Linked DNA regions of Macaca fascicularis. The protein of the gene in region 2 binds, or shares a complex with, the protein of the main gene of each other region. Links are inferred from orthologs where the notes say so. Each region holds a gene or a part of one and is shown on either strand. Other genes may lie near its edges.

Region 1 (6,923 bases), on a different chromosome or scaffold from region 2:
AGGGTTTCATCATGTTGGCCAGGCTGGTCTCGAACTCCTGAGCTCAAGCAATCTGCCCACCTCAGCCTCCCAAAGTGCTAGGATTACAGGTGTGAGCCACCACGCCCAGCTCATACTTGTTGCTTTTAATGCTCAGTTTTTAATACTCCTGAGTAATCCACTGCGTAATGACTAATGCAACGCACCTCTGGGGCCAAATATCTTATATAACATTCCCAGACTTACAGTCCTATTTTGTCTAAATCCAATACAAATAACTCAATTACCCAGAGTCCTATCTAGAATGATGTCATGTAAGGCGAGCAGAAGTCAGCATGCTCTTTTTGAATAGGTCGGAAGGTAAATACTTTAGGCTTTATGGATTACCATATGGACTCTGGTACATATTTTTGTTTGGGTTTTCTTATAATCCTTAAAAAATTTTAAAGTTGTTTTTAGCTCACAGGCCATGCACATACAGGCCACAGGTCATAGTCTGTCAATTCCTGAACTTCAAGAAAAATTGAATGCTTTGGAAGACACTAGTACTTAGTTGGGAACAAAACTTGATTGGTGCATTCGAAGCAATACAAATGACAGCCAATGGATTGGACCATGAGGTCAAAGGTTAGGGGGAGGGGTATTACCCGCTTCTGCTGCTCCAAGAGCTCATGTTCCTTCAGCGAATGATCTCCCTGCTTAAAAAAGAAAACAAGTTCATACCAGCACCAATACCCAACGGGCCAATCTGCCACAACTCTTGCTTCTTGAGATCCTCTTCCAGTCAAGGGCCCATGTTCCAATATTTAGTCCCCACCTTCCCAGAAGCCTTAGTTCTAGGACCCAGCTTTCTCTTAAGGCTCCACTGCCCCTTCAGGGACCTAATGAGGCCCAGGCCAGGGCTTCCACCTGCCCTACCTGCTTGGCACGTTCCTCCTGCTGCATCAGCAATGCCGCCTGCTGCTGAGCCAACTTCAGCCGCTCCTCCTCTGACAGTGCCACTGGCTCACCCACACGGAGAGGAGGCGGGGGCCCCAAATTTGGTGGGTGGGCCATAGGAAAGCCAAGGCCAAGGCCTGGTGGAGGTGGTGGGGGAGGTGGAGGAGGCTGCAAAGGGGGGAGTCCCAAAGGTGGTGGTGGCATGGGAATTCCAGGGAGCTGTGGAGAAAATATGATCATAAAATTAGGAAACATTTATCTACTCATCTGCACATATCTGGGGGATCTACTTTGAGTCAGGAGCTGGGATTCTAAGTCAAATGACACATAGTTCCTAATTCGTAAGAGAGAATGCTCCATAGCCCTATAAAGATATGAGAATGTTAACTTCCGGCACCAACCACAATAAGCTATCCACTCTCTCCAGAAAGATATCCTGAATACAGACTCTGCATACAATTCCAGGAGACTCAAAGACACCTCTGAGGCCATCTAGGGACTCCTCATTCTACACACAGAGATCAATAGATCCTAGGTCAGAGCCACTGCTTTAGAGAAAAAGAAGCAAATCCTGGATCAGAAGCAACATGGAAATTGAGAGGACTTAAATAAACAGGAACCACTGTACCAGGGCAATGCAAACCCCAATGACTGCTAAATGCAAGGAGTATGAAATCAAATCAGGGAGCTCTCAATGTCTCACAAAAGAACATGGGAACTGTTCCTGGGGCAGGCAAAGAAGAGGGTGATTGCTTCCAGCTGGGTAGGGACAAGTCGGGCTTCCTTGTATTCAAGCTGTTTTTTTTTTTTTGTTTTTTTTTGTTTGTTTGTTTGTTTTTTTTTGAGATAGAGTCTGTCACCCAGGCTGGAACGCAATGGTGCAATCTCAGCTCACTGCAACCTTTGCTTTCCAGGTTCAAGCAATTCTCGTGCTTCAGCCTCCCAAGTAGCTGGGATTACAGGCGCCTGCCACGATGCCCGGCTAATTTTTGTATTTTTAGGAAAGACGAGGTTTCACTATGTTGGCCAGGCTGGTCTCGAACTCATGACCTCAAGTGATTGCCCGCCTCGGCCTCCCAAAGTGCTGGGATTACAGGCGTGAGCCACCATGCCCTGCCTCTCTCTCTTTTTTTTTTTTTTTTTTGAGACAGTCTTGCTCTATCGCCCAGGCTGGAGTGCAGTGGCCTGATCTCGGCTCACTGGCTCACTGCAACCTCCGCCTCCTGGGTTCAAGAGATTCTCCTGCCTCAGCCTCCCAAGTAGCTGGGATTACAGACATGTGCCACCACGCCCAGCTAATTTTTGTATTTTTAGTAGAGACAGTTTCACCATGTTGGCCAGGCTGGTTTCAAACTCCTGATCACAGGCGATTCACCCGCCTTGGCCTCCCAAAGTGCTGAGATTACAGACATGAGCCACCATCCCCTGCCTCTTTTTTTTCCCCCTATTTTTTTATTTTATTTTATTTTATTGTAAGTTCTGGGGCACACGTGCAGGATGTGCAGGTTTGTTACATTGGTAAATGTGTGCCATGGTGGTTTGCTGCACCTATCAACCCACTGCCTAGGTATTAATTCTGGCGTGCATTTGCTATTTTTCCTGACAATCTCCCAGCCCCTGCCCCATCACCCCCCAACCTTTTTTTTTCTTTTTTTTTCAGAGAAGTAAAGTCTCATTCTGTCACCCAGGATGGAGTACATGGAGTACAGTGGCGCAACCAGAGCTCATTGCAGCCTTGAACCTCAGGGCTCAAGCAATCCTTGAGCCTCAGCTTAGAGAGTAGCTTGGACTTTATAGGCATGTGCTGCCGTGCCCAGCTAATTTTTAAAAATTTTTTGTAGTAACAAGAGTCTCACTGTGTTGCCCAGGCTGGTCTCGAACCCTGGCTTCAAGTGATCCTCCCATCTAAGCATCCCAAAGTGGTGGGATTACGGGCATGTGCCACTGCACCTGGCCACAAGCTGAATCTTGAATGACAGGTAGAATTTGGAGAAGCAGACAGTGGAAAAGGAGGCAAGTATCAGCATCAAAGAGAGAACTGAAGAGCTCACAATTCTGTCATGGCAGTACCTCCTTGCCCAGTCAGTCAGTTGCATCTCAAGTACACTGCAATTAAGAGGAAGGGCTACCCTGAACAGATGGAATCTTTCTATTCCCCACTCAGGTCAGGCGAGATGTGCAAGGGTGTGACGTCTCACACATGCACGCGAACACCGAATCATCATGCTCATGAACTACAAAAGGATCAGCAGATAGAATCTTAAAAAATGGAAGAACCTCCCTACCTGCGCTGACATGGGAGGTGGAGCGGCTTTGTCCCCATCTTCCCCTCTCAAAACCGGCCGATTCAGCACGATGCCAGTCTGCAAAAGAGAAAGGACTCTAGGTCAGTCCAAAACTAGCTGTTTCACTAATCGACGATCTCTCCCAATTCATTTAACAAAACGTATCCAGTGCCTGTCTGCCAGCGCTCCGGCTGGGCACTGAAGAGGACCAAGATGGATACAAGAAATTACAACTAAGCTGGCAAAGGCAAGAACAAGCCAAAAAGGGCAAGCCTCCGCCTTGCTGTGCCAAGATAAAGAAAGAATGAAGACCGAGCCGTGATGGGGTATATAAGGTCTCCTGGAGAAGCTCGGCCTATCCTGACGTCCCGCCGCCAACACCTACCTGGCGGGTGTAGGTCTGCAGCCGCTCCACCAGCTCCTCGCGATTACCTGCGGGGCAAAGTACACGATCAATGGAGCAGGCAAGCCCGGCCAGGTCAGACCCCAGCTGCCCGCCTCCGCCCCTCGCGCCCGGGTCTCCCGGGTAACCAGGCTCCGCTTCTCCGCAGGCCCGTAAAGGTCCCTCGACTTTCTGTGTTCCTCACCCTGGATCGGAGCTCCGATCTCTGCCAACTTGGCCTGAAGCTCCTGGGCAGCCCAGGCGCCATAGTGGCCTGGAGGTGGCGGCGGCGGCAGCTGCAATTCCGCTTTGGGAGGCTCGGGATGCTCGGTCGCCATCTTGGCCGCAGCAAGGCGCGCGACCAACCCGGAAGCTCGGGCCGGCCTCTGGGCCCACTTTCCGGAACTTCCGGCGGCGCCGTACGCCACGTCCTCTCTGGTTGGGAGGCGACGCGCACGCAGGCCCACCCGCTGCGGTACGCTAGGCGACGGGATTCGCCGCAGACGCCCCTTTCTTCAGTGGCCCCTCGGCCGTCTGGTCGCTAGGCCTCCTGGGAGTTGTAGTGCGCAGGTCTCGGTCTCTGCGGGCCCTGCGCCAGGCTACGGCCCAGAAGGCCGGCGGCGGGCCGGAGGGCGGGGCTGCGGGGAAGGCTGGCCCTGCCCGGAGGGAGTGTTTTCTGCGCCTCACCTGCGGGAGCGCAGGCTGTCAAGCCTTCCGGCCCGGCTCCCCGGTCAGAGCCTCGGACTCTTACGCTCCCAGGGAGTCCCGAGAGACTCATTTCCCCGGCGGCTCCGCGTTGCGGGCGCCAAGCGGGAGGCTGGAGCCAATGCCCGGGATAAAACAGTGTCTGATTGTCTGCCCGCCCACCCCCGGCCCAGGCCCGGATGAATGGGCTGAAAGGGGATCCGAGCCAGGAGAGGAGCGGGCCCGCCCGGGCTGAGCTCCAGCTGCCGACCTGGGGGAAGGGCGACACTAAAGCCCCCTTTTCCACCTTCCAAGCCGGCTCAAATGTCGTCTTCACTAAGCTTTCTCCCGCTTTCCTTTCCTTTCTTAGAGTTCCCATAATACATTCGAATCTCCACCGTTTGATAAGTCTTTCTTGCCCTTTCTTCCTACCTGCATCCCAAAAATGTGAGCAGGGACTTGATCTTTTTCAGTCTCGCATCACCTGCCGTTCAAGAGGCGCCCAATAAATGATTACTGGGAAAAAGGAACAATGTTTCTGGTGACAGTATTTGTGTCTTTTAGTCTCAAAAATAAACTCAGGCCCCTTTTCCCTCAGCCGCACCTGCACTGGGGGCCCACCTTGCCGCCCACTCCCCACCCCAACTCCCCGTGGTCTTTGGGGACAGAGGCAGATACTGGCAGGGATTCTTGCCTGCCTAGCATCCACCTCTCGCTGTCCCACACCATCAATTCAATTTCTCTCCCCACCTCTGCCACTAGCTCTGCCCTGTCACTAACAGCCAGGCTCACTGTGTGTGTTTTTATGTGTATTGAGTACGGGAATGGGGAGACTTCAGTGAAATGGTCTCATTTTCCCCCAAACATCCCCTTCAGATCTTTTCTCCAGCTCCATTTTGCCAACTGCCCCCCGTGGAGAAGAAGCTGGGAACAGGGGAAAAAAGAATGGGGCACCAGGTCTGGGGAAGGTGAGGTTTGGGAGAGACAGGGAAAAGGATTGGGTTGAGAAAGGTTGGCTCACATCCTAGCACTGGGTGGGAAGTCCTCTTCCTCCTACCCAAACCTTGACCTTTCCCCTTTGCATCAATATCACTATGGCAGGCTCCTGCTGCCACTCCCAGAGGGGAAGCCAAACCTGGAAAGGACAGTAAGGAAGACAGAACAATGGTGCCCTTCCCTCCAGCTTGTCAGCCCACTCAGGCAGAACCTTTCTAGCCCAAAGGAAGGCTCTTCTGCTCCCTGTAACTGGAGAGCCCAGAGCAGGTCATCTGAGGCTGAAGGCCTCAAGCGATGTGTAGGTGCTAGGGAAGGGGGCGGGGTCTCTGAGGCAGGATAAACTAAAGGCTGATGGTGGAGCCTCATTTTATGACAGCTCTGGGAAAGAGGCAAGGTATCAAGATCCTCCTCCGACCCCGACCTTGTACACAGTGGAGGATTGATGGGCAGAGAAGGTGACATGCCCAAGGGGCCGAACTGGGGCCACCAGCAGTCCTTCTGACTCTCAGAGTCCCAATTTCCTCCTCCTTAACGGTAACAAGGACCCTCATACAATACTACCTATTTCCTATGTGGACCTAGAAGGGCGTATCCAGCCCCTTCCAGTCCCACCTTTGGATGACTACCCAGCTCCAGGATCCTTGCTTTACCAGGCCCAGAGCAAAATAAAAAGCAGGTGGGCAGGTCAGCCACAGAACTCAGTGTGGGGCTCTCAGTGTCTGGCATGGCTTTGAGAGGTGCTGCTGCCCAGCTCCCAGGTGATAGGAACTGAGGACTAAGAAGTTCACATGAATCCTTCATGTGTATTATCTCTGCTACCTCAGAACAGCTTCCCATTTTAGAGCTGGAAGCAATAGGGCTCAGGGAGTTGCCTCTTGACTTTGGGATTTAAGAGCAAACCAGGATTGAACTTGGGTTCTTTGATGCCTGATGGCAGGTGCCTAGGCAGGGGTCCCAGCCTCACTATAGCTCTGATCAGGAGTGAGTGGGTCTGGAGTCCTAGCGAGGAAGAATGGGTGAGCAGCCAGAAGCTACATCAGAAGGTATGGGGGACACGCTGGAAGGGAAGTGGGTGTGTGGGCACAGATGGGACCAGACAAGGCTGGAGCACTGCTTCTCTGCTGGAGGAGGATAGAGAGGATGTGGGTACCTGCAAGTGTACCTGTGTCTCGCTCACCCAGGAGCCCAAATATGACCGGTGGTGCCCCGGAATACCCAGCAATGCAGGAGCATCCAGACACCTTCCTGGCCTCAGTTTCCCTGTCTGAGTGAGAGAAGGCAGCTGGCCACATTAGTGTCCAACTCTGCAAGGTTGCCAGAGTAAGATAACTGCATCTGAAGATGCCACCCAGAGACTGTTCACGACAGCCAGCGGGCAAGCCGGGAGACCACCCCCCTTCCCGCTTTCTTTCCCCTCTCTCCCCTCTCTCCCCTCTCCCCTACTTGCTCGCGGCCTGGCCCCGCCCCTCGCCTGCCTCCGGTGTGCGATGGGGGGCGGGGGGCGGGCAGAGCCGGGAGGAGCGAGCCTAGCGGACGCCGCCACCTGATCCCATCCAGGCGCTGAGAGGCAAGCCACCGGCACTCGGCGCGCAGGGCCCTGGGCACCCTCGGACCCCGTGCGGATTTCAAGACAAGGGTCTAGAGATAGCGGCGGCCGC
Region 2 (6,912 bases):
TACAGGCTGAGCATCCCTAATCTGCAAATCCAAAATTCAAAATGCTCCAAAGTCTGAAACATTTTGAGCACCAACATGATGTCACAAATGGAAAATTCCATATCTGACACCTTTAAATTCTGATGGTTCAATGTACACGAACTTTCACACACAAAATTATTGAAAACATTGTATAAAATTACCCTCAGTCTATGTGTGCAAGTTGTATATGAAACATAAATGAATTCTGTGTTTAGATCTGGGTCCCAGCCCCAAGAGAGCTCATGACGTTTATGCAAATTGGAAACACTTCTGGTCCTTTGGTCCCAAGCGTTTTGTTTTTCTTTTCTTTTCTTTTCTTTTTTTTTGGAGACAGAATCTCACTCTGTCGCCCAGGCTGGAGTGCAGTGGTGCTATCTTGGCTCACTGCAACCTCCACCTTCCCAATTCAAGTGATTCTCCTGCCTTGGCCTCCAGAGTAGCTGGGACTACAGGCACCCACCACCACACCTGGCTAATGTTTTGTATGTTAGTAGAGATGGGGTTTCACCACGTGGCCCAGGCTGGTCTCACTCCTGAGCTCAGGAAATCCACCTGCCTCGGCCTCCCAATGTGCTAGGATTACAGGCATGAGCCACCGCGCCCAGCCCCAAGCATTTTGGATAAGGGATATTCAACCTGTAATACAATACACAACAAAGTGCTAGAGCAAAGAGTTAATATCCTTCATACATGAAGGGCTCATGTAAAATCAACAAGAAAATAAGGAAAATACTTGTAGAAAAAAGTTGGCAAGGGTATGAATAGACAATTTACAAAGAAAAAGAATAATGGGCTGCAAATCTAGAAACAGATGTTCAACCTCACTGATGATGAAATAAAGGCAAAGCAAAGTAATAATGAAAAGCCCTTTGGCAAATATTTTTTAAAATCGCCACTGTTAATCAGGATTCAGAAAAATGGGCATTCTAGTGAGTGTGGAAATTGGTACAACCTTTTGGAGAGCAATTTGGCAATGTTTATAAAACATCTTTAAAATGCTAACATATTGATCCATATTCCTCTTTCACTAAAGAGACCATGAGGGATGCATACAAAAATGTATATACTATAATGCACACTGCAGTATAATTCATAATAGCAAACCACTGGAAATAACATCCAGCATTTTTTTTAAAATGATAAAGAGATATGCCAAAACATTAAGGTTTTCCTTAAGAGTGTGTTCTATTTTCTTCTTTATACTTTATTTTGCCAAATGTTCTATAATGACTATATATTACCTTCAAAATAAGAAACAAAGTAGATTTCTTTTTTTTTTTCTTTTCTTTTTTTTTTTTTTTGAGATGGGGGAATCTTGCTTTGTCCCCCAGGCTAGAGTGCAATGGTGCAATCCTGGCTCACTGGAACCTCCACCTCCTGGATTCAAGCAATTCTCCTGCCTTAACTTCCCAAGTAGCTGGGATTACAGGCGCGCACCACCATGCCTGGCTAATTTTTGTATTTTTAGTAGAGATGGGGTTTCCCCATGTTGGCCATGCTGGTCTCAAACTCCTGACCTCAGGTGATCCGCCCACCTCAGCCTCCCAAAGTGCTAGGATTACAGGCGTGAGCCACCATGCCCAGCCAACAAAGCAGTTTTTTGAAAGGCACTGTTATCAGCGGCAATCTTCATGGAGAGCAACGTGTGTAACCAGAATAGAGAATAGAGAATTAGAATAAACAAACAAGCACACGTGCTAGCTGATCATCACTCAATGCAAGTAGAACTAAACAGCTCCAAGAGGGAAGGCTGAGTAGAAGTACACAAAGGGGTAGAAATTATAGGCTGCACCTGCTGTGAACCTTGCAACATCCACAAGTTGAAGGAAGCAATCTTTGTCCCTGCCAGGGCCCTCCACTCGTGTGGGTTGCCCAGGTTCTCTATCACAGCCTTCTTCTCACGGGTATTGCCCAATTCCTTTCCCATGGCTTGCTGCCCCATAAGTGGCCCAACCACTCAGCCAGGGCCCTCTGTCCATGGATGGCCCTACCATCCTGCCATAGCAATCCCTCTGCCAGTGTATGCTACCTGTGTTTGCTTGGCCAGCCCCTTTTGCCATGGTCTGCTACCTGTACATGCTGTCCAACTTCTCTGAAACAGTACTATGCTCTGAAGGCCTACAAAACCCAAATGTAGTGGTCCTTTGCACCTGTGCCAAGATCCTCTGGCCCTGTGGACTAACTGTGCTGTTTACCTCTGGGGTTGCAGGCCAGCTGCCCAGCCCCTCTCCTACTAGCTGCTACTACCAGTATGAGCCACCAACACCCTCTCCCACCAAATGCTGCTGCCAACACCTCAGCAGAATGAAGAATATACAGATCTCCTATTCATTCTTGTTCCTCGTCAGGCTGTGATTCTCAGCCTCCAGGTAGAGATTGGCTTTGCTCACTAACCTTACATTCATTGAGAATCAAAGAAAGCAAACTACAACCTTCTTTCTGTTTTTCATCCCAATTCCTCTGTGGTTTGCCCCAGTCGTATGATGCCACACAGGCAAGGACCAGAAGGGCCCTGTGACCATGGGTTACCCCTAGTTTGCAAGAGCCCAAGGAGGCGTACCAATATGGAACCTTCCTGAGGGTTCCAGTCTGTTCCAGTCTAGGCCCAGGCTGAACAAACCTCAGTGAAAAACAACAGAAATAGACTAGAATCCCCAAGATGGCCTCCCAAATTAACAAACCTCTTGGATCTCCCACAGGAGAACATTCTAGAACCATGTCCTGGGACTGATCTAGACTAGAGCAGAAGCTCCAGCCCTCCCCATGCAGGGACACCATTCAGCCTAGAGTGAAAATAAGTGGTTTTTGTGATGCCACAAAATGCATTACAGAAAAAAGTACTCTGTCGACTCAGGAGGCAGGAAATGAAAGGGGACTTACTGTGAGAACACACAGATGATGTCCCCTTCAGTCAGTTCATAAGGAAGCCCTCCTAGAAAAGAAAACCACATTTCAGTTCCACCAACATTTACCAAGTGTTTACTACGTACCATGCACTAGGCCAGGCACTAGGGGTGCAAACAGTAAGCAACAGGCCCTGCCCTTAAAGAAATCAAGTCTGGGCTGGGCACCATGGCTCACGCCTGTAATCCCAGCACTTTGGGAGGCCAAGGCGGGTGGATCACCTGAGGTCAGGAGTTCGAGACCAGCCTGGTCAACATGGCGAAACCCCGTCTCTACTAAAACTACAAAAAAAATTAGCCGGGCGAGGTGGCGGGCACCTGTAATCCCAGCTACTCAGGAGGCTTAAGCAGGAGACTCGCTTGAACCCAGGAGGCAGAGGTTGTAGTGAGCCGAGATCACGTCACTGCACTCCAGCCTGGACAACAAGAGTGAAACTCCAACTCAAAAAAAAAAAAAAAAAAAAGAAAGAAAGAAATCAAGTCTGATGCAATGACAGAAGTACATGTAAGGTGCCAGTAGAACAGGAAAAGGAGTGACTAATTTTGAGTGGAAGTCAGTGTCACCACTAACAAAAGTAAACTGATCACTCAGTCCTCCTGGCACCCAAAATCCTATGGGCAAAGCAGATAGTTTCCATCACAAACCTCTGCTTCCACAAACATGTTGAATTCATCTGCTCATTACCCACAAATTTACAGCTATGATACAAAATTAGTCTACATATGTCATGATTAACCCCACCTACACATAGACAAAGGTTATAAAGACACTGTTAAGCATTTCCTAGGGAATAATTTCCCTTCCAAATGTTTCTTTCCTCATCTGTAAGATGGGGATATTAGCAGGTAACTCGCAAGACTGTTATAAGAGTTAAATAAAACGATGCATATAAAGTGCTTAGCACAACGTTTTTACAATAACCTCTTTGAAGCATCAAACTTGTACAATTACTGGTTGTGATATAAAGTGAATACAGTAATGGTAGTGTGGCCATGGTCAGAAAGCAGGAGCTAGAGGAGCAAAGTGAATTCTGCAAGGGAAGGGGAATGGGGGAGGGCGGTGGTAGCAATATGGGGCTGTGGCTAAGACCATGAGTTCTAGAAAGCTATAGTTCTGCCTGTTGCGGTTATTAGCTATGTGACCTTAAGGAAGTCCCTTAACTTCTCTGCACCCCAATTTCCTCAGCTGTAATAACGGGTCAGGGGGTGAGAGAGAAATAACAACAGTCCCTGAACCTTAGCACAGCAAATGGCAAACAGTAACTCTCATGAGCACTGATTTGGCTGGGAAGGAAAACTAAAAATGGGGCAGAAAAAAAAAAAAAAAAAAAAGATGGAACACGGATTCCCGGGCAGACAGCAGATGGATATAAAGGAGGGCAATGAATGTAAGCAGGAGTGAAGGGTGAAAATGCTGAAATAGTCGGACACCGAGCAGGAGAATCTTGGGAGCACTGCGGAAGAAAGATGTGCACCTCACCCAGGAAGATCCAGGCGCTGTCCTTGTACTCGGAGTGCCAGGACACTTTATCGGCCACCCCAAGCTGGACCTCTCGTTCATTCAGCTCGTTGATCAGCTTCACCTTAGTTAAAGGACTTCACGGTGGCGGGGGTGAGGGGAGGCAGAAAAGCAGACAAGTAAATGCTAACCGGCCGAAGCTGAAGAAGAGCAAAACAAGGGGACGAGGTGTTCTAGTCCCCGCGCCTCTCCCGCCCCTCGACCCCGCAGACGCTCTACCACCCCAGCCCCAGTAGACCACCCTCAGCGGCCCGCTGCTCGTTCCTCAAAAGGAAGCTGACGCCTTACTTCATCTCCGCGGGCTCGCGCTCAGCATTCAGGAATCAGCGCCCGGGAAAGGCAGCGCCGCGCATGCGCGGCCCCGGCGCCGGTGGCTCGTCGAGTCGGTGACCTCGCGCCGGAAGAGCTGGGGCGTACCGGGGCGTGGCGCCTGCGCACTAGAAGCCTTCCGCGTTCTTTGCGGTTACCTCTTGTAGAAACGGTTTTTCTCTAATTTTTCGCTTTTTCTCCTCTGTGAAATGGGGTAAAGGCACGAGCCTGGGCTGTTGCAGGACCCCCAGCTCTTGAACGATATCGGAAACTGGTTAGATTAGCTATAAATATTTGCTGAATGAACGGAATAAGCAGCCTGATGTGGCGACTTTAGTCTCAGCCCTCGCTCCCAGTCCAGAGTCCCACTTGGACCTTCGCTCTTAGTCAGTTGCTCACGCACAGACCCATCAAAGCATCCCTGTCATGGCAGAAAAGTGAAGAAGATAGGTGAAAAGGTAAATCTTCTGTTGTTCTTATCCCAATACATAGGCAACAGACCAGTGTGCCTCTATAGGCTGAATTGAATACCTACAGATTTGCATGAGAGCCGCTGCACTTACTCTTTTCCATAGGCTCTCTCCTAGTTGAGCAGGAGACAGAAATTAATATTGTTAAATTAATAGCTAGCAAGTGAGCAGATGATGTACTGTATGATACTAGAGTATGTGCTAAGCAATTTACATGTATTGTCTCTCCACCCTCACAACAACCCAATGAAGCAGATAAAATTACAATTCCTGGCCGGGCGCAGCAGCTCATGCCTGTAATCCCAGCACTTTGGGAAGCTGAGGGAGGAGGATTGCTTGAACTCAGGAGTTTGAGACCAGCCTGGGCAACATAGCAGAACCTGTCTCTAAAATAAAGGAAAAAAGGGGGGGCCAGGTGTGGTGGCTCACACCTGTCATCCCAACACTTTGGGAGGCTAAGGCAGGTGGATCACCTGAGGTCAGGAGTTCAAGACCTACCCAGCCAACATGGTGAAACTCTGTCTCCTCTAAAAATACAAAAATTAGCTAGGCATGGTGGCACACGCCTGTAATCCCAGCTACTCGGGAGGCTGAGGCAGGAGAATCACTTGAACCTGGGAGGCAAAGGTTGCAGTGAGCTGAGATCGCACCACTGCACTCCAGCCTGGGCAGCAGAGCGAGACTCCTTGTTTTTAAAAAAAAAAAGAAAGAGAAAGTAAAAGAAATTTCCACCCTCGTTTTGTAGAGGAAGAAATGAGGCTCAAATGAATAAATTAACTAGAAAGGTACTAGAGCACCTGCACCCAGTAGGTCAGGTTGATTCAATCAGTCCTTACTGAACATCTAGATTTGTCCTGTGCAGCTAAGGTCTGTAGACAGGAGTATCAGGTTGGGTCCTCTGCCCTCAAGGAGCTAATATTATAATTAAGGGGACAAGATATATTTGCCTGATAGATTTCAACCAGAAATATCTAGAAACCAGTGGAAGAGATGATTAACATATAATATGTGATTTAACCCATATTGACAGTTTGAATCCATTTTGCACATGTCCACATCAGTACCTGCTCTTGGACCATGATGTTCTAAAAGTAAAAGTCCAGAGCTGTGTGGCCTATCTCAGAGCACCAGATATTAGGTCCTTCATAAAAACATTTTGATGACGATACCAACTGTACCCTCAAGTGGCCCACCATGTAACCAATGTCCTGCCAAAAAGGAGAACAGAGCCTGCCCACCAATGACAGTTTCTCCTCATTCATTCTATGTCTGTTCCCCCTTCCCCATTCCAACCTAGCTATTCATTAACTTTGTAAAATTATCTTGGCAATGAAAGCTAAACAGTGACAGATTGCATATGGGGGTTATCTGCTCCTAGGAATCTCAGGTTGCTTAGTTGTGGGTTGAAGTAGCCACTGCAGAGTGATAAACTAGCATGCAGCATTATCTTGCTGACTCTTTCAAATGGCTGTGAAATGAGAGAGTTAAGACTATACCTGGGGATAAGTCATCAGTGTTCCAAGAGAAGCTGGAGCAAAAGAGTAGAATAAGACCAATTTAGATTGAGAACATGAGAAGGCTATTATTACTATGCAGCTGGTAGGTTCAGCAGAGCTATTCTGAAGGTGAGAGAGCTGAATATTGCTTCAGTTTTCCTGGAACTGAGAAGTTTCTGAGACTTCTGACCTTT
Region 3 (6,923 bases), on a different chromosome or scaffold from region 2:
GATAATCGAAAATATGCATAAAAGATGGGTATACAGTAGTCTTTTGATATCGGTGTCTTTCATGGTGTTTTCTCGGGTGGCTAGCTAACGAAAAACAAGAAAGGAAGAGCATACGCAATAATGACTTTTTCCATTGTCTTAAATGTTTCAACCCTTAAAAATAAGTCATAAAGTCAATTTGCTATGAGCAATGTATTTGTTTCAAAACACAGAAGATGCAGAAGTGTAGATGCACATATAGACTTTTTATTCTACCTTTGATTTTCTTAATATGGTACAAACATCTCTCAGAGTCTTAAAAAAACAAATTTACTAATTTCTTAAATATTGTGACTGGTTTCTGCAAAAGGGTCATGTCCTAGGACCAATAAAACAATTCATTTAAACTTTTTTGGCCAATATCACAGAGATGAAATCAACTGTGTGGATTAAATTATCTACTGCCTGTTGGAATTATAACCAAAGTTTATTTATGAGGTTTCCAGAATGCATAAGTTATAATTCCAACAACCCCAAATATATACTTAGGCTAAATTGCTGGGGTTTTTTTACTCTTGTCTAACATTACAGTAGTTCACATCTTCTAGCAAATGCCAAATGACACCAAGTGCACACTCGAATACTCAAATGGTGGCCAGTGGAATCAAGAGTTCAAAGAGCACCACACTAAACTAAGGGATCTCGATGCTTCAGAAACACCAAGATGACAACGTCTGTTACAGGTGTTAAATTCCAACCAAAAGTAGAGCACGAATGGAAGGAGGGAAAACAAATTACTCATCTCTACAATACACGTATTTAAATTACCTGAGAGTTAATTGTACTGTTAAACAAGGACTTTATTAATTTAAAGTAACAGTCAATATGTTACACTATGGAGAATATTCCAGAAAATAGAAATATCTCAGAAAAAAATACTACACACACACACACACACACACACACACACACACACGTGGGCGCGCGCGCGCGCGGAGGGGCGCCCGCTAGTGTGAAAAGCAGAAGGGCGAACCTGGGCCTTATCCTAATAGCTCTCATTTAATTCACCCAGTGCTTTTCAAAGGCAGATATTTTACTGATAAGGAAACAAGGCAAACAGGTGAGGTGGTCCAAGGTCCCACGCGCTACAGCTCTCTCTCTGGTATAAGGAAATACACTAGGCATGAAGAAGCAAACGGATGGCAAGAAGGGACAATGGTAAACTTTCCCATAGATTCTCTTAAGCTGATTGAGGGAGGGCAAGGGGATCAGGAATCCATTCTCTCAACAGATAGCCCTTCAGCCATTTTTCTGAGCCACCCTCGGAATCGCAGCTGCCATCAGATGTGGATGTAATACAGTGAGCAGTTACCAAACTCAACCGTTTGCTGAGTGAATGAAGGAACCAGAGTAGGCAAAGTGGGAAACCAACTCTCCTGGGAAACCAGCACCGTGTTAGGCCCTGGCGTGCCCCCAGGGCGCCTGCAGGGGTGCCACGGGCATGACGCGGCCCACCTTCCCCAGGCACCGCAGCGGAGAGAAGGCTCTTCAGAGCGGCCCCCAGAGGAGCCTTCACGGGCATCGCCGCACCTCCACCGGCAGCTCCACCCCAACCCTGGTCGCTGGGAATTCTGCCCGACCCTAGGCCGGCGCGAGCGTGGGCAGCGAGGAACCAGCTGAGAAGCAGGATCAAAGAGCTCGGGAGTTGGAGACAAAGAAAAACTGGGGGACAGAGGCAAAAACTCGGATCCGAAAGGGGGTCTGTCCATCAGGGCACGCCGGAAGAGTGGCGCTCGAGCTGACGGCGAGAGCTGGCGGGCCGGGGCGCCGAGGCTCAGGGCTGCTTCGGCAATTCGCGGGGGTGACTTGCACCCCGGGAGGCGAGAGCGCCTGGGAAGTCCAGCGAGGCTTACCTAACTTTCCCGCCCGCGGAAGGGAAGCGGGGAACTACTGCCTCCCACCATCAGGTACGACAGGAGGCCCAGGCCCACGCGCAGACGCAGGGTTGTGGGGCGGACACCCACGGCCGAACAGCCAGTCGCAGAAAGGGAGGGGCGGGCAAATGGGGCAGCCCCACCTAGCCGCTCGCGTTCATTCCTCCCGCGGCTTTCCAGGTTTGGGGTAGGCGGGAGCGGTGGGCTTAGAAGCCGGAAGTGGATTGACGTAGCCCGGAAGGGGAATACTTCCCAGTTACAGTGTTGATGTTTTCAGGCTCCTGCTGCTCCTGTTGCGGCTAGGGGAACTGTCGTGGGGAAGGATGGTGTGCGAAAAATGTGAGTTAAGGGGCTGCTTCTGCGGGAGGAGGAGGCTGGGATAATCTAACTGAGCCCTCCCGGGAACTTTGCCTTCTCTTTGTTTTTTTCGCCCACAGGTCTCTGATTCTAGCCGCTGTCTTTCTACCCTACCCTTTGACCATTTTTGCACCTCCCCAACGACCATACAGTCCTATGTATTTTGTACTCAGAATGGTCTCAGTTCTGCACCTCCCTCTCTATTTCCATTGCCTTCCCCCAGCCCCAGATCTCATCGGCTCCCCTCCCATATAAAAATGTTCAGTTAAACCCCAGCGACACCTTTCCCTCTTGGCAATTCCTGTCCTTTCCTTTTTATTCGTGTAACAAGTATTGTACTCCTGCCAAATGTTAGACACTGGAACCAAAGACTTAGGACTTTGCCTTATTCATTCTCATTAGTCATTATGCCAGGATATGGCGTAGAGTAAACCCAGAGATGTTTGAATTGAACATCAACGTAAGTGCAAATTATTATTTCCCTAATTTAAATCCTTTAATAAACTCTCAGTGTGCAGAGAATAATTTGGGGATTCTATATTTGGAACCTGACGTTCAGTACCCTCCACACTAAGGCGCTAACTTATTTTTCCAGCTTCATTTTCACTGACCCTCATCCTCTTCACACTTTGACCAAACAAAATACTCTTTGTGCCCATGTGTACTCTAAGCTTTCTATGCCTTTCCTCAGAATGTGTCCTTTATCTAGTTTGCGTTCATCCTCTTTACTCCTTTTTGTTCACAGTCCTGTTGCCACATATTCAAATCCTCTCTCTTGCCTTCTCTCCAAACTTTGTTTTCTTGGATTTCCTTAGCCAGGGTTATTTTTTCCTGCCTGGAATTTCTCCTAGTACTTTAGTTCTCAATTATTATATCTTTTATTTTTTAGCTTACATTTTGGTTGAATGGTTCTTTTTGGGGAGACGGTCTGTGATCCCTCTGAGAATCTGATGAAAACTGTAGCCTCTTGCCAGGAAAAAAAACTGAAAATATAAAAGGTTTGTGTACAACTCCACCTTGTTCACATATCTCTTAAGATCCACCTGGGGAACCCAGGTTACAGATTGCTGTTAAAGAAATTAGTATACTATAATCTCATTAAAATTTTGTCTGATTCATCACTTTTTCTCAGCACTTTCTATAGTTTATACATCATAGATGCTTAGTAAATATTTATGGAACAAATAGACTTATTGGATTTTTTAAAAGTATAAACAAACAGTGAAAGCTTATTATAAGCCATCTTATTATCCTGCGAATTTTACCGACGGTCAGTCATTCATTGCCCACAGTTAATATGAGTCTCAGTTGACTGGCTGCTTTCTCAGCATTAACAGGCTCCTATGGTAATAGCATTGATAGTCGATACCATTGTGAGCCTTAGGCACAATGTAATGCACTTATGAAATAGTAAATTTTAATTTTCCTTTTACTATCTTGTTCTAACAGGTGAAAAGAAACTTGGTACTGTTATCACTCCAGATACATGGAAAGATGGTGCTAGGAATACCACAGGTATTTCTTCTTTTAGAAAATAGGAATTTAACCAAATACTTACTGTGAATTATATTTTAGCTTTTACATTATTTGTACAATGAAATGTTGTATGTTCAAAGTATTTTATCTATTAAATATTAAAGAATACTGGGTCCCCAAGTGATTTAATATCTTTTATTTAGTTCTCAGTTACTTGTATGGGTTCCCAATATCAGGAGATAGCAAAATTATTAAATGATTGTCAAGTGGTGACAATATCACAGTATTTGATTATCACAATATTTGATTTGATTCAGCTTATTTAGAGTCTGTTTTTAATTTCCCCACTCTTCTGAGGAGAAATTTTTTTAAATCTTCTGATTTTTATATTCTTGAATAAATAAATGCTTTAACCCATTTTACCTTCATTATCATTAAATCTTTATAATGAAGTATTTACCTTCATTATTATTAAATACATATAGTAAAGTATGTTTTCAAAGCGTAGACAAATAAACATTTTCATTATATTGAAGGTCTATGACACTGAAGTAGTGGCTTCTAGATTTTACACTATATAGAGTAAATATAGACCCATTCCTAAAGTACTCCCTTGAGTCTGAGAAATAAAATGATTGTATTTTATACAAATTTTTACTGTTTCCCTAATAAATGTTTTCTTTTTAAGCAGTGTCTTAATAGCCTACTAAATGAGGATTTAAAAATTAGATACAGACTACTATTTTGGTAGAAAGTCAAAGAATGAACTTCTTAATGTTTTATGTTAAATGTATAGAAATAACCCACTAAAATATCTTTTATTCTGATACAGAAAGTGGTGGGAGAAAGCTGAATGAAAATAAAGCTTTGACTTCAAAAAAAGCAAGGTGGGTAAGAGCATCCATAGACAGATCATATAAATTTCCTTTCTTTTAGTATTAAGTCTGCTGGAGTGAATTTGATGTGCATCATTCCATTTGCAATAAAACATAAAGGTAGGTGGTTCATAGCACTCAGAACCAAGCTATCTGTTACAATCCTGCTGGTTTTACCTTATTCCTCCTTGGCTGTATCAATATATGAAGATATTAGTGTTATTCTCTTACAGTTTCACCAGAAAACATGACTTGTATTTTATCTCCTTCTTAATTATCCTATGAATCAGAGACAGCAGGGAAATGTGGAAAGATGGTAAGCTTTGGAGTCAAACCTGAATTTGAGTCTAGACCCACTGTCTAGCCTTATGACCTTAAGCAAGTTAAGCAAGTTTCTTGACCTTTCTAAACTTTACTTTTTCCTGAGAATTGGGGTAAAAATGTCTCCCATCTTAAAAACAAGTTTTTGATACCATACTTTATTAGATCCAGTCTTAAAAATTCTGCTGGGTATGGTGACTCACACTTGTAATCTCAGCACTTTGGGAAGCCAAGGCAGAAAGATTACCTGAGCCCAGGAGTTTGAGACCAGCCTGGGCAACATGGTGAAACCCTGTCCTTACAAAAAATGGAAAAATCAGGTGGGTGTGGCAGCACGCGCCTGTAGTCCCAGCTACTCAGGAGGCTGACATGGGAGGATCACTTGAGCCCAGGGAGGTCGAGGCTGCACTGAGCCAGGATCGCACTACTGATCTCCAGCCTGGATGACAGAGCAAGACTCTTTCAGAAAAAAATTCCGTGAACCCTTTCATCTGCCATCCGATTTCTTTGCTCCCCTTCACATCAGAGGTTTTCCAAAGTCTTATCTAGACACTTTCTCAGTGTCCTTAAGTTCCTTTCCCTCTTTTAGCCCCTCCAGTCGTATGTTATCCCCACAAAAGCCCTGAAACTGTTCTTGTTGAGATCACAAGCGACCTTTAAAACTGATTCTGTTCTTATTTAGCCTCTTCATAATTCTCTCGCGTTTTTCTCTTGGCTCCTGGGACACCACACTCTCCTGGTTTTCCTCCCAACTCACTGGCTATTCCTTCTCAATTGAGTACTTCAGGACTCAGTCCTAGGCTTTAAAAATTATTATAAATGCATAAACTCTCCTAAAGTGACTTTAATCTACTGGCTTTAAATTCAAGCTGTATGTTTATACACACACACACACACACACACACAATATTATTATATATATATAATAGCTCCCAAATTTATACCTCTGGCCTGAGTTCTCTGAGCTCCAAACATGTATCTAGCAGCTTATCTGACATACCTCATTTATTGTCTTAACAGGCCACTTCTTTTTCCTTCCATCTTCTCATCATAGTAGCACCACTGTCTAATCCAGTTGTTCAAGCCTAAAAGCTACAATTCTTCACTGAGTCCTCCCTTTCCCCTGCTTCCCCTATCCATCAACAAGTTCTTTGGATCTACCTCCAAAATGTAAAATATAACCTGAAACCACCTGCTTCTGTCCATCTTGCTGCTATTATCCTGTTCCAAACCACTGTTATTTCTTACTTGGAACTGTAATAACTATTGAACTATCTTCCTGCTTCTCTAGTTTCCCTCAGTTGTCTCATAGTAACAAGAGCGATCCTTTACAAAGTTCCTTTGCTTAAAACCCGCCACTGGTTTTCTTTTTCACATAGCATAAAATCTAAGCCCCCTACCATATTCTTACAAGGTCCTCCTTGATAGGACCCCTCGCACCTCTCTGGCTTTGTATTGTACTACACTGCTCCTCACTCATACGCCATCCTCATTAGTTCCGCCAAGCCCACTCCCATCCAAAGAGATTTCTACTTGCTGCTGTCCCCTAGGAGTCTTCTGTTAGAGCTTATGTGTCTGGCTCCTTCTTGTTGTTTGGGTCTCAGCTGATGGGTCACTTCCTCAGAGAAGGTTCCCTAATCAGAATGTAAACTAATCTCTTCTTTCCTTTCCTCATCTCTGCCTTAGTATCCTGTTAGAATTTTCTCTATAATGCTACTATTTGACAAGCTTGCTTGTTTTATTAGATTCTCTGTTTCCTTACTTACTGTTTACCTCTTCTCACTAGAATATCATCTGATGAGGGCAAGGGCTTTGCCTATCATGTTCATCTTTGGTATTTAGAACAGTACTTGGTACTTGATAAGCACTCTATATATTTGCTGAATGAATAAATACCTGTTTTATGATGTCATCCTGAGGATTAGAAATAGCAACAATAAAGCCTTAACGACATACAGTGCGTGGCACATAATGGGATCTT

Evidence for each region.
Region 1: RBMX2 (region 2) and SF3B2 share a complex: the UniProt entries of both Homo sapiens proteins name them as parts of the minor spliceosome. The link is inferred for Macaca fascicularis from reciprocal best matches to the Homo sapiens genes RBMX2 and SF3B2.
Region 3: RBMX2 (region 2) and CRIPT share a complex: the UniProt entries of both Homo sapiens proteins name them as parts of the minor spliceosome. The link is inferred for Macaca fascicularis from reciprocal best matches to the Homo sapiens genes RBMX2 and CRIPT.

The regions. Positions count from the first base shown.
Region 1 is NC_088388.1:8,337,439-8,344,361, forward strand, and holds the start of SF3B2 (splicing factor 3B subunit 2), read right to left. Parts: upstream 3,954-6,923; 5' UTR 3,924-3,953; coding exon 3,791-3,923; intron 3,636-3,790; coding exon 3,589-3,635; intron 3,282-3,588; coding exon 3,204-3,281; intron 3,165-3,203; exon of another isoform or gene 3,082-3,164; intron 1,138-3,081; coding exon 898-1,137; intron 678-897; coding exon 627-677; intron 1-626. UniProt on the Homo sapiens protein: Component of the 17S U2 SnRNP complex of the spliceosome, a large ribonucleoprotein complex that removes introns from transcribed pre-mRNAs.
Region 2 is NC_088395.1:136,675,850-136,682,761, reverse strand, and holds the start of RBMX2 (RNA-binding motif protein, X-linked 2), read right to left. Parts: upstream 4,801-6,912; 5' UTR 4,737-4,800; coding exon 4,732-4,736; intron 4,521-4,731; coding exon 4,405-4,520; intron 2,954-4,404; coding exon 2,902-2,953; intron 1-2,901. UniProt on the Homo sapiens protein: Involved in pre-mRNA splicing as component of the activated spliceosome. As a component of the minor spliceosome, involved in the splicing of U12-type introns in pre-mRNAs.
Region 3 is NC_088387.1:75,422,986-75,429,908, reverse strand, and holds the start of CRIPT (cysteine-rich PDZ-binding protein), read left to right. Parts: upstream 1-2,149; 5' UTR 2,150-2,236; coding exon 2,237-2,252; intron 2,253-3,719; coding exon 3,720-3,785; intron 3,786-4,578; coding exon 4,579-4,633; intron 4,634-6,923. Other genes in the region: PIGF (phosphatidylinositol-glycan biosynthesis class F protein), read right to left, coding at 1-63. UniProt on the Homo sapiens protein: As a component of the minor spliceosome, involved in the splicing of U12-type introns in pre-mRNAs. Involved in the cytoskeletal anchoring of DLG4 in excitatory synapses.